2 linked regions of the Drosophila melanogaster genome follow. The protein of the gene in region 1 interacts with the protein of each later gene in a pairwise test. Each region holds a gene or a part of one and is shown on either strand. Other genes may lie near its edges.

What was found.
Region 2: the proteins of CG13311 (region 1) and Np interact in a two-hybrid assay, tested with the Drosophila melanogaster proteins (one large-scale study listed by BioGRID).

What each region holds. Positions count from the first base shown.
Region 1 is NT_037436.4:8,800,913-8,804,188, forward strand, and holds CG13311 (uncharacterized protein), read right to left. Parts: upstream 1,253-3,276; 5' UTR 1,217-1,252; coding exon 1,187-1,216; intron 1,130-1,186; coding exon 698-1,129; 3' UTR 628-697; downstream 1-627. Other genes in the region: CG34426 (uncharacterized protein), read left to right, coding at 1,560-1,677, 1,728-2,358, 2,424-2,565; CG32023 (uncharacterized protein), read right to left, coding at 2,728-3,180, 3,237-3,266.
Region 2 is NT_033778.4:9,003,358-9,008,524, reverse strand, and holds the start of Np (notopleural), read left to right. Parts: upstream 1-1,937; 5' UTR 1,938-2,036; intron 2,037-3,148; exon of another isoform or gene 3,149-3,521; intron 3,522-5,167. Other genes in the region: CG8172 (uncharacterized protein), read left to right, coding at 30-207, 276-654, 739-954.

The sequences.
Region 1 (3,276 bases):
AGCATGAAAGTGCCGAACAATTTGTTTACGGCATCACAGTCATCACAAAAAAATGTTTTTGGTACGTAACAGCTTTGCACCATTTTGACGTCATTGCTTCATATGTCTAATTTGATTACGCAGCACTCTCGCTCAATTGGGTCAATGTCAATTAAATTGCTTAATTTAATTAAAACATACTTAAAGTAAATAGAGATACCTCCAAATTTGTTTTCACTTCTTTATGGCGAAAGAACTGACCTTCGCAATAGAATTTGCGATGCTTTTGGCCCTGACAACATGAGATGACCAAAACAATGATAAGCTTTTAGCTTAACAGTGATAAAAAGTGTTTTATTGCTGGAATTCTTAAGAAATTCTTTTTCGTCTGCTGACTTGTCTACTAACAATAAATTATGTTAGTTATATAACAAAAAGGACAGATAGAAAATTAATGGAAGAGCGAAATTAAATGTGGATTGCTTTGTGCATGATTCGTACGTTCACCATTTGGTAAATCTAGGAATTGTAAAACATTTATGCCCTAGATGAGATTCAAATAAAATCTTAATGATCAATGTTATCTACAAAGTTTCACTTTAATAGGGAAACTTCTTTTATCATTGAAACAAACTATTTATATAAGTTACAAAAATCGTGGTTTATTTAATAGTTTAGACATGAGGTAGTGAAAGCATTTTAAATTAATTCAAAAGTTCTATAGCGGACTGTCCCTATCGCATTCGACGGAATCACCCACTTCGCAGAGATCCACGCAGTATTTGCCCGATTTAATCGAGCAGATCTTGTTGTCCTTGCACTTGGTGACCTGGCCAGTTAGGTTGGTGCCATCGCACATCTGGAAGGTGGTGCGACTGGTGCAGACGAACATGCTGTTTCCATCGCAGGTGGGGCAGGATCCATCGGCAGTGCCTGAGCAGGAGCTATCCACTACACTGCTGTCCATGCAGATGATTGCCAGGTCGGTGCAGACCTTGTTATCCGGACACTGAAGGACCTGATTGGGCGCCACATTATCGGAGCAAAAGCTATAGTGCGTTTCATTCAGGCATTTCACATTGTTGGCTTGGCAACTGTTGCACACTCCTTGGACCAGAACTGCCATCGAGCTTACAACCACAATGAGGCACTAAAAATTATAAATTTGTTAAAACTTTTTCTCAAAATAAATTGCACATTGTCTTACTAGGTTTCTTAGGATTTGGGATTGCTGCATTATGCTGACTTTGAATGTGACTAACGGACTAACTGTGATATCCAACAGCTATAGGGCTTTTATAAGAACTGTCTCTAGAAAACAGAAGATAGCTTTAGCGTTTTATGCCGTAGATTAGGTATGCTAAAGATCTTAGAATATATGATACTGTTTGCCCCGTAGCGCTCCCGTGCTACTCGAAGATTGCGCTACTGGGAAGAGCAGTTTTATGGCATTCCACGGCATTGAAAGATAAATGTTATGGCCCCGAGATCATCACAGAGATATGGCCCCAACCCGGGGTTTATAAAGCTGTGCAGTTGCTCCTTAGAGATTTAATTGTAATTTCAGAATGAAAGCGTTCATGTTGATCGTACTACTGAGTGCTCTTGTGGCACCGTCAATTGTCAGTGCCGCATGTGGCCAGTGTGTGGATGCGCACAGTTGCATCGGTGAATCGGAGTTTCAGTTGTGCTACGATGGTATGTTTTAAGAACTTTCAATGATCTTCCATCATAGATCGTACTTTTAGGTGTCCGGGACCAGACTATCAACTACACTTGCCCCGAATCAAAACCCATTTGCACAACCTACGGAATTATTTGCATGCCCAACGGCACGAGTATAGAACGCGGCTGTGGTGATGTCTCCAATTGTGGTGTTTGCTCAGAATCCACAACTTTTGCCTGTACTTCAAGGACCACATTTGCTGTTTGCAACGGTGATGTTGTTTCCGCCAATAGTTTCGACTGTGCAGAAGACTTTGTCTGCAGTGTTAAAAATGCAGCCAGCGGAAGTCCTTGTATTTCCCGGTGTGACTCATCAGACTCAGATATTTGTGATCGAGTTTTGGAACCCGAAGTGGAAAGCACCACGGCATCAGTGACTCCCACTGTCACATCCACAGTCACTCCCATTGAGACTACTGCAGACCCATCCACAGTCATCACTGATTCATCGACAGGATCAACTGGGGATACCTCCACTGGATCGTCTTCCGTAACTTCGTCGGACACATCAACGGACAGCACCGTGACTGTCACTGATTCAGGAAGCACTACCCAAAGTACTGCAACAACTCCAGCATTCAATGAAGACACCTATTGCCAAGAGATCAACTCAACGGGTCGCTATCCCATACCCAATGACACAGTGTGCACTAGGTAATAACCACATCCTATTTTTATTTATTCTGAAGACAATAATCATTTTCTTTGATTTTTTCAAGCTACATCTACTGTGTTCTAAGGAGTGGAAGCTGGGCAGGATTGCTCTATAATTGCAACGTGCAGAGACCTTATTTCGATGCTGATGTCTTCAGCTGTGGTACTGTGAAGCCATCTTATGCCGGATGCACTAATTTAGTCTAAATCGATTTAATATGTCACTCTAATATATAGTACGCCATTTTATTTAGTAAACGAAATTAAAAACGGTACTTTAATGAATAGAAATATTTCCTCTCTAAAAAAAGGTAAAAAAAAACTTGTATTTCGTTCTTCCTTTTAGTATTGTATTTTGGAGCTTTATATTTATACATCCAAGGGGGACTCTCTGTCGCACTCGAATCCATTTTGAGATTTCGTTATTTCACACTGATCTACGCAAAACTTTTTCGACTTCATGGAGCAGAAAGTGTTATCCTTGCACTTCGTTACTTGGCCGATGAGCTTGCCTTCATCACACATTTGGAAGGTGGTGCGGCTAGTGCAGACGAATAGACCTGCTCCACTGCAAGGAGGACACGATATTTCGGCATCTGGAGTGCAGGAAGCTGGAGTCGATCCCTTGGGCAGGCAGATCTTCAGGAGGCTGGTGCAAACCTGGCCGTCGGGACACTGGATAACCTGATCCGACGAAACGGCGTCGAGGCAAAAACTAAAGTGGGTCTCGTTCAGGCACTTGACATGATTTGGTTGACACACATTGCATTTTATGTCCCCGAGAACATGGACTGCCATATAGGATATGATCACGATGGAGCACTATAGAAAGCATCTTAATTGAACATTATTTTTTAAGGATTTCTGTGCCAAGTTACCAAAACTCTCAGGAGCTGAGTATACTGCATTTTGCAGGCT
Region 2 (5,167 bases), on another chromosome or scaffold:
ACTTACTTTATATATATTTCTATTCCCAGGCTGCGGCGAGGTCTACACCCGATCCAATCGCATTGTAGGAGGACATTCCACGGGCTTTGGCTCTCATCCCTGGCAGGTGGCGCTGATCAAAAGTGGGTTCCTCACTAGGAAACTCAGCTGCGGCGGTGCACTGATCTCCAATCGATGGGTGATAACGGCTGCCCATTGTGTGGCTTCGTAAGTACAGCAAAAATTGAATGGAAATCTTTTCAAAGCATACTTATATATCTTTGATTCCTTCGCAGCACTCCAAACTCCAATATGAAAATCCGATTGGGCGAGTGGGATGTTCGTGGTCAGGAGGAGCGCCTAAACCACGAAGAGTATGGCATCGAGCGAAAGGAAGTGCATCCCCATTACAATCCGGCAGACTTTGTAAATGACGTGGCTCTGATCCGCTTGGACAGGAATGTGGTCTACAAGCAGCACATCATACCCGTCTGTCTGCCTCCTTCCACCACCAAATTGACTGGTAAAATGGCCACTGTGGCTGGGTGGGGGCGAACCCGACACGGCCAGAGCACAGTTCCCTCCGTACTGCAGGAGGTGGACGTGGAGGTGATCTCGAATGATCGCTGTCAGCGATGGTTCCGGGCAGCGGGTCGCCGAGAGGCCATCCACGATGTGAGTAAACATTGGCATAGACTTAAGACCGGCATAGGTCTTCCCTTAAAAAAGATCTACATTGAGCAACTTCTTTTCGTCCAGGTCTTCTTGTGCGCAGGCTACAAGGATGGCGGCCGGGATTCGTGTCAGGGCGACAGTGGTGGTCCACTAACATTGACCATGGACGGTCGCAAGACCCTGATCGGATTGGTGTCCTGGGGCATTGGCTGTGGGAGGGAACACCTGCCCGGCGTCTATACGAACATCCAGCGTTTCGTGCCCTGGATCAACAAGGTTATGGCCAATGACAACGCGTAGGCGCCAACGCGCAGGTGTGCGTCCGCTGCGGAGATGCATGCCGTCAGCCAGGCCATGTGATTCCTCTACGACTCGGGGTTGCTAGTGTGTAAGACCGAGGTCCTTGGGGCCTTGTATTTATTTTATCATACTCCACATCCTAGGGTTCCTCGACTCAATCAGTCCAACCGTTCGATCCCTCCACCCTTCATTCGACTTCATTGCATTCCACGCATTCTATTTAAGTTTTCTATATTTATTAAACACTGTTCGAATAATTCCTACATTTGCGATCCACTTTCACTGACATCGTATTGATACCAATAATTATGTTTTAAAAATAAAAACAAAATGTACCAAAATACCATGGCTTTTTATTGACAAACGTCTGATGTGAACATCAAAGATAATTTTAATTACAACTTTTTAAAACTTTATAAAACCTGCATTAACTCGCTGAAATTCATGCAACAGAATTTAACTTTTACATTGCAATTTCCATTTGACGTGGTTCGCGTCTTGGGTAAATAAAAACAAGCTGCATACTTTCAGGCAGCATCTCAATCAATATACAGATGATGCACAAAGAACATGATTTCGAAATGGTTTGGAATCTGTGTTTATCTTGTTGGGCAAATAAGAAACAGAGGCAGCAAACATTAGCCAGAAATGCCAGAACAGGCACGAACATCAAACAGAGATATCTTCTGAGATAGCGCGGGAAATCCAAAACTGGGTCCATGGCCGTGCAACAGGTGCCACATGCTGAGCATGATCTGAATTTCTAATGAGCCCGACTTCCGCTGGCCACCAAGCAGTAACCAATGACCAGTATCATCGCTGGGCATCAAAACTCAATAACATAATCAGGGGGAGAAGAATCGAAAAGGAGCTTATCAGCAGCTCTCCTCTCTCACCAGGCCTCGCTCTTAGCATCCACATTGGCATCCACTTCTTCGGGCAATTGGCCAAAGAATCGGGGATCGCTTGGCTTTCCAGGCCTCAGTTGCTGTGGAGCAGCCCCAGTGTCAAGGTCTCTCGAGTTCAAGGAACGGCCAAAGACACGCGTCATCGCCAAGTCAGTCAGTGGTTGATAGTTAATTGTGCGTTTTGTTTTGCTTGCTTCATTAAACAGAGATGTTGTGAGGCGCGATTCTTGTGTGCTGTATAAATGTGTTTCTTTGGCAGTCTAAATGGCCTTTTCACAAGACCTAATGATGTGTGGATTAGAGCGTGTGATGGTCGCAGTACCTAAACAAAAGAAAAATTCCTACAATTTGTGCATTGATTAAAGGACAAAAGAAGCTAGAAGCCAGCTTTAATTTGTAGCAGAAGTTCAATATTTCCCTTCCTGAAATGAGCAAAGTGTTTTTCCCCAGAAGTGCTGCTCCTTAGAAGTTTCTTCCCATACGTTTCTCGGAAAACGTACTTAAAAGCCAAGGAAGTCACCATGCAATTCTTATCAGCCAACTGGTTTGCCTGTGAGAGCCGCAGCATAATAAAGATTGACTTTCTTAACCTGACGACGTGCATAAATTAAAAGACAAACAAACGGTGGCCCCCCACACTCACACACTCTCACACTCGCACAGGTGACAAAGAATGGCGAGCAGCAGCAAAAACACACTCATTTGCAACACAAAATATATATATTAAAAGAAAAAGCCACGATGTGTGCATGTGTGCGTGTGTGTGTTTGTGCTGTCTTCTGCTTCTTGCTATTTTAATGTGAAAGCGCTGTTAACCCCAAACTCCCCCCGCCACAACCGCCACCACCCCCCGCCAAACACCTTGTGCCGCCAATCAGCTGTGAGCCGCCTCAAAAAGAGAGAGGTGGCCAAAAGAGAGAGAGGTTCATTTGAATAAGAAACAGAAACAGAAACAGCGCCTAGCTTTTGGCCGTTCTCGGTGTTGGCCTTAATGAAAACCGTTATGCGCGTAGCGCAGTCGACGCCGACTGCACGCATGCGCACATGTTGGTGGTTTGGTTTTGGTTTTGGTTTTGGCTTTGACTTTAACTTTGAGCCGGAATGAGCGTGCGAGCGAGAGAGAGAGAATCAGCTAACTTACCAATTTCGTCTTACCAAGTTCTTCAGCTCTGCCGGCGTGGCCAAATCTCAGTCGCAGCGGGCAGCGGCAGCGACGGCAGCAGTGCCAGTGGCAGAGGCAGTGGCTTCACCTGGTTTGTGGATCTTTTGTGTGAGCTCCACACCGCAGACGTGCGCAACTTGTCGCGCTCTTAACTTGGTCTTCTGCTCGTCTTCCGTCTTCCGCGACTGTGTGTGTGTGTGCGAGTGCGTCTGTACTCGGGGACTTAGCGAGTGTGCGTGTGTGTGTGCGAGTGTGAGTGAAATAATTGGCCTGACCCAAAGTCCCGAGGCAAGTTCAAGTGCAAGAATACAAGCCAAAACCAAAGCAACGAAATCCCAACCGGGAAAGGAAACGAATCTCGGGAAACAAATTTTCCCAGGCGGCTAACAGTGCTTTGTGTGATCTTTTTTTGAAAGAAGCGAAAGGTAGAACTGCGGAAAAAGGCCGAGAGCCAGTGTCAAAAGTGAAGAAACTCATAAAACGAACGAGCCACAAACGTAAGAGTTATAATCACACTCATATGGTAACAGCGAATTAAATGAAATGACCCAAAATAGCTGGCAGCAGTGAACCGAAGCTCGACGTCAACTGGCAGCCAACGCAAGTAAATGCAAAAGATCCGAGACTCAGATACGCATCCGCCAGATACGCCGGCTCTTTTTTCCCCTGTGCCAGTGGTTGTGCCCAAAGTGCTTGTGCACTTTCTACCGCGTACAAGTCAATTAAGCGCCAACTCACTGCGGTCACAGAAACAGAAACAGCAACAGACTCAGATGCATGTGCTAAGATACAGATACAGATTCAGATACAGATACCGAGCAGCCGATAGATGCGCATAACTGCAACTAACTGCACCAGCAGAGGCTGCAAAACAAGAGCAGCCAGTTCAAGCGCCGCAAACACGGCCAAAGCTCGAAACGAGTCCAAAGCAAAAGTCGCTCCCTCCTCTGTAAATTTATTGAAATTCCTGTAAAATGCAAGCGAGCCAAAGCGGCGTGCCACAAGAGTTGGGGCACCAGCACCACCACCACCACCAACAGCAGGAGCAACAGCAGCTTAGTACAAGTGTTTCAATTGCGCTGCCACTGCCGACTGCTTCTGCTTTTCCCTCAGCGACCGAGAAAAGGCAATCTTAAGCAGAACTTTGCTTGCTCCAGCTTCCTTTGGCTCCTCGGCAAACGATTTTTGCTTTTCGGTTTAAAGAACTGGTCTGATTGTGGTTATGCCAATGGCAAGTCGTGGGTAACAGGGGTTAGATGGACTGGGAGTTAATTATATAAGGGATAGTTTTATTCAGTTAAAAGTATCATACAAGCTGAGATTGACCAAATACAAGTGATGCAGTTTTTATGTTCATTCAGGTTACTCTATGTTAGATTTTATATATTTTGTGATAAGTACCATAGGGTCGACCCCCCTGCGACAACCACACACGGCTCTTCCTTATTGTTGGAGGCCTGCCAGTCCGCCTGTCTTTGGTCTAAAACGCACTCGACAGCTGGGAGGGCGGTGGGGGGCATTGGAGGGGTGGAGCACGTTTGTCTTGCGGCCACAGATGATCTGTAGGCAGTAGGAAGCCTGTTGCGTTATTTGCATTTCACGTTCTGGGGCCGCTCTGGTTTATACAGGTTTGCCGGGCAGATCGCCTGTCAGGAGAAGTTGATGATGGGGTGATAGGATGAGGCTGCCTGCGTAGAGTAGCGCAAAATGGCTCGCCGTAATTATTGTAATTTGCATTCGGCATTTGCAATTGAGAAATTGCCGTTGATGGTTGTATTGAACCTGCAATGGCAGCTGCTGAAACAATTAGGCGGCCCTCAGCGGCAGGCGATGCGCACGCCTGCCCATCGAGTTTGTGCCCTAAGTCTTTCGTTTTGAGCTAATGAGCTGGGCTTAGCTGGACAGCCAGATGGGGACATGTGGCCAGAAGCGCCAAGCCGATGGGCCTTGGCAGCCCGCAGCTAAGTGGACACAAGACAAAATAAAAAAAAATAAAAAAAAGCCAAATATACACAGAAAATTTCACCGAGCTCCGTTTTTGGTAAGCAGAAATGAAAGCAGCGGCCAGCGAGACGCACTTCTTATTTGATTACACTAGAAACGCAGTCGATGTGTATGTGGTTTCTTTTCATGAGCTAGTCGT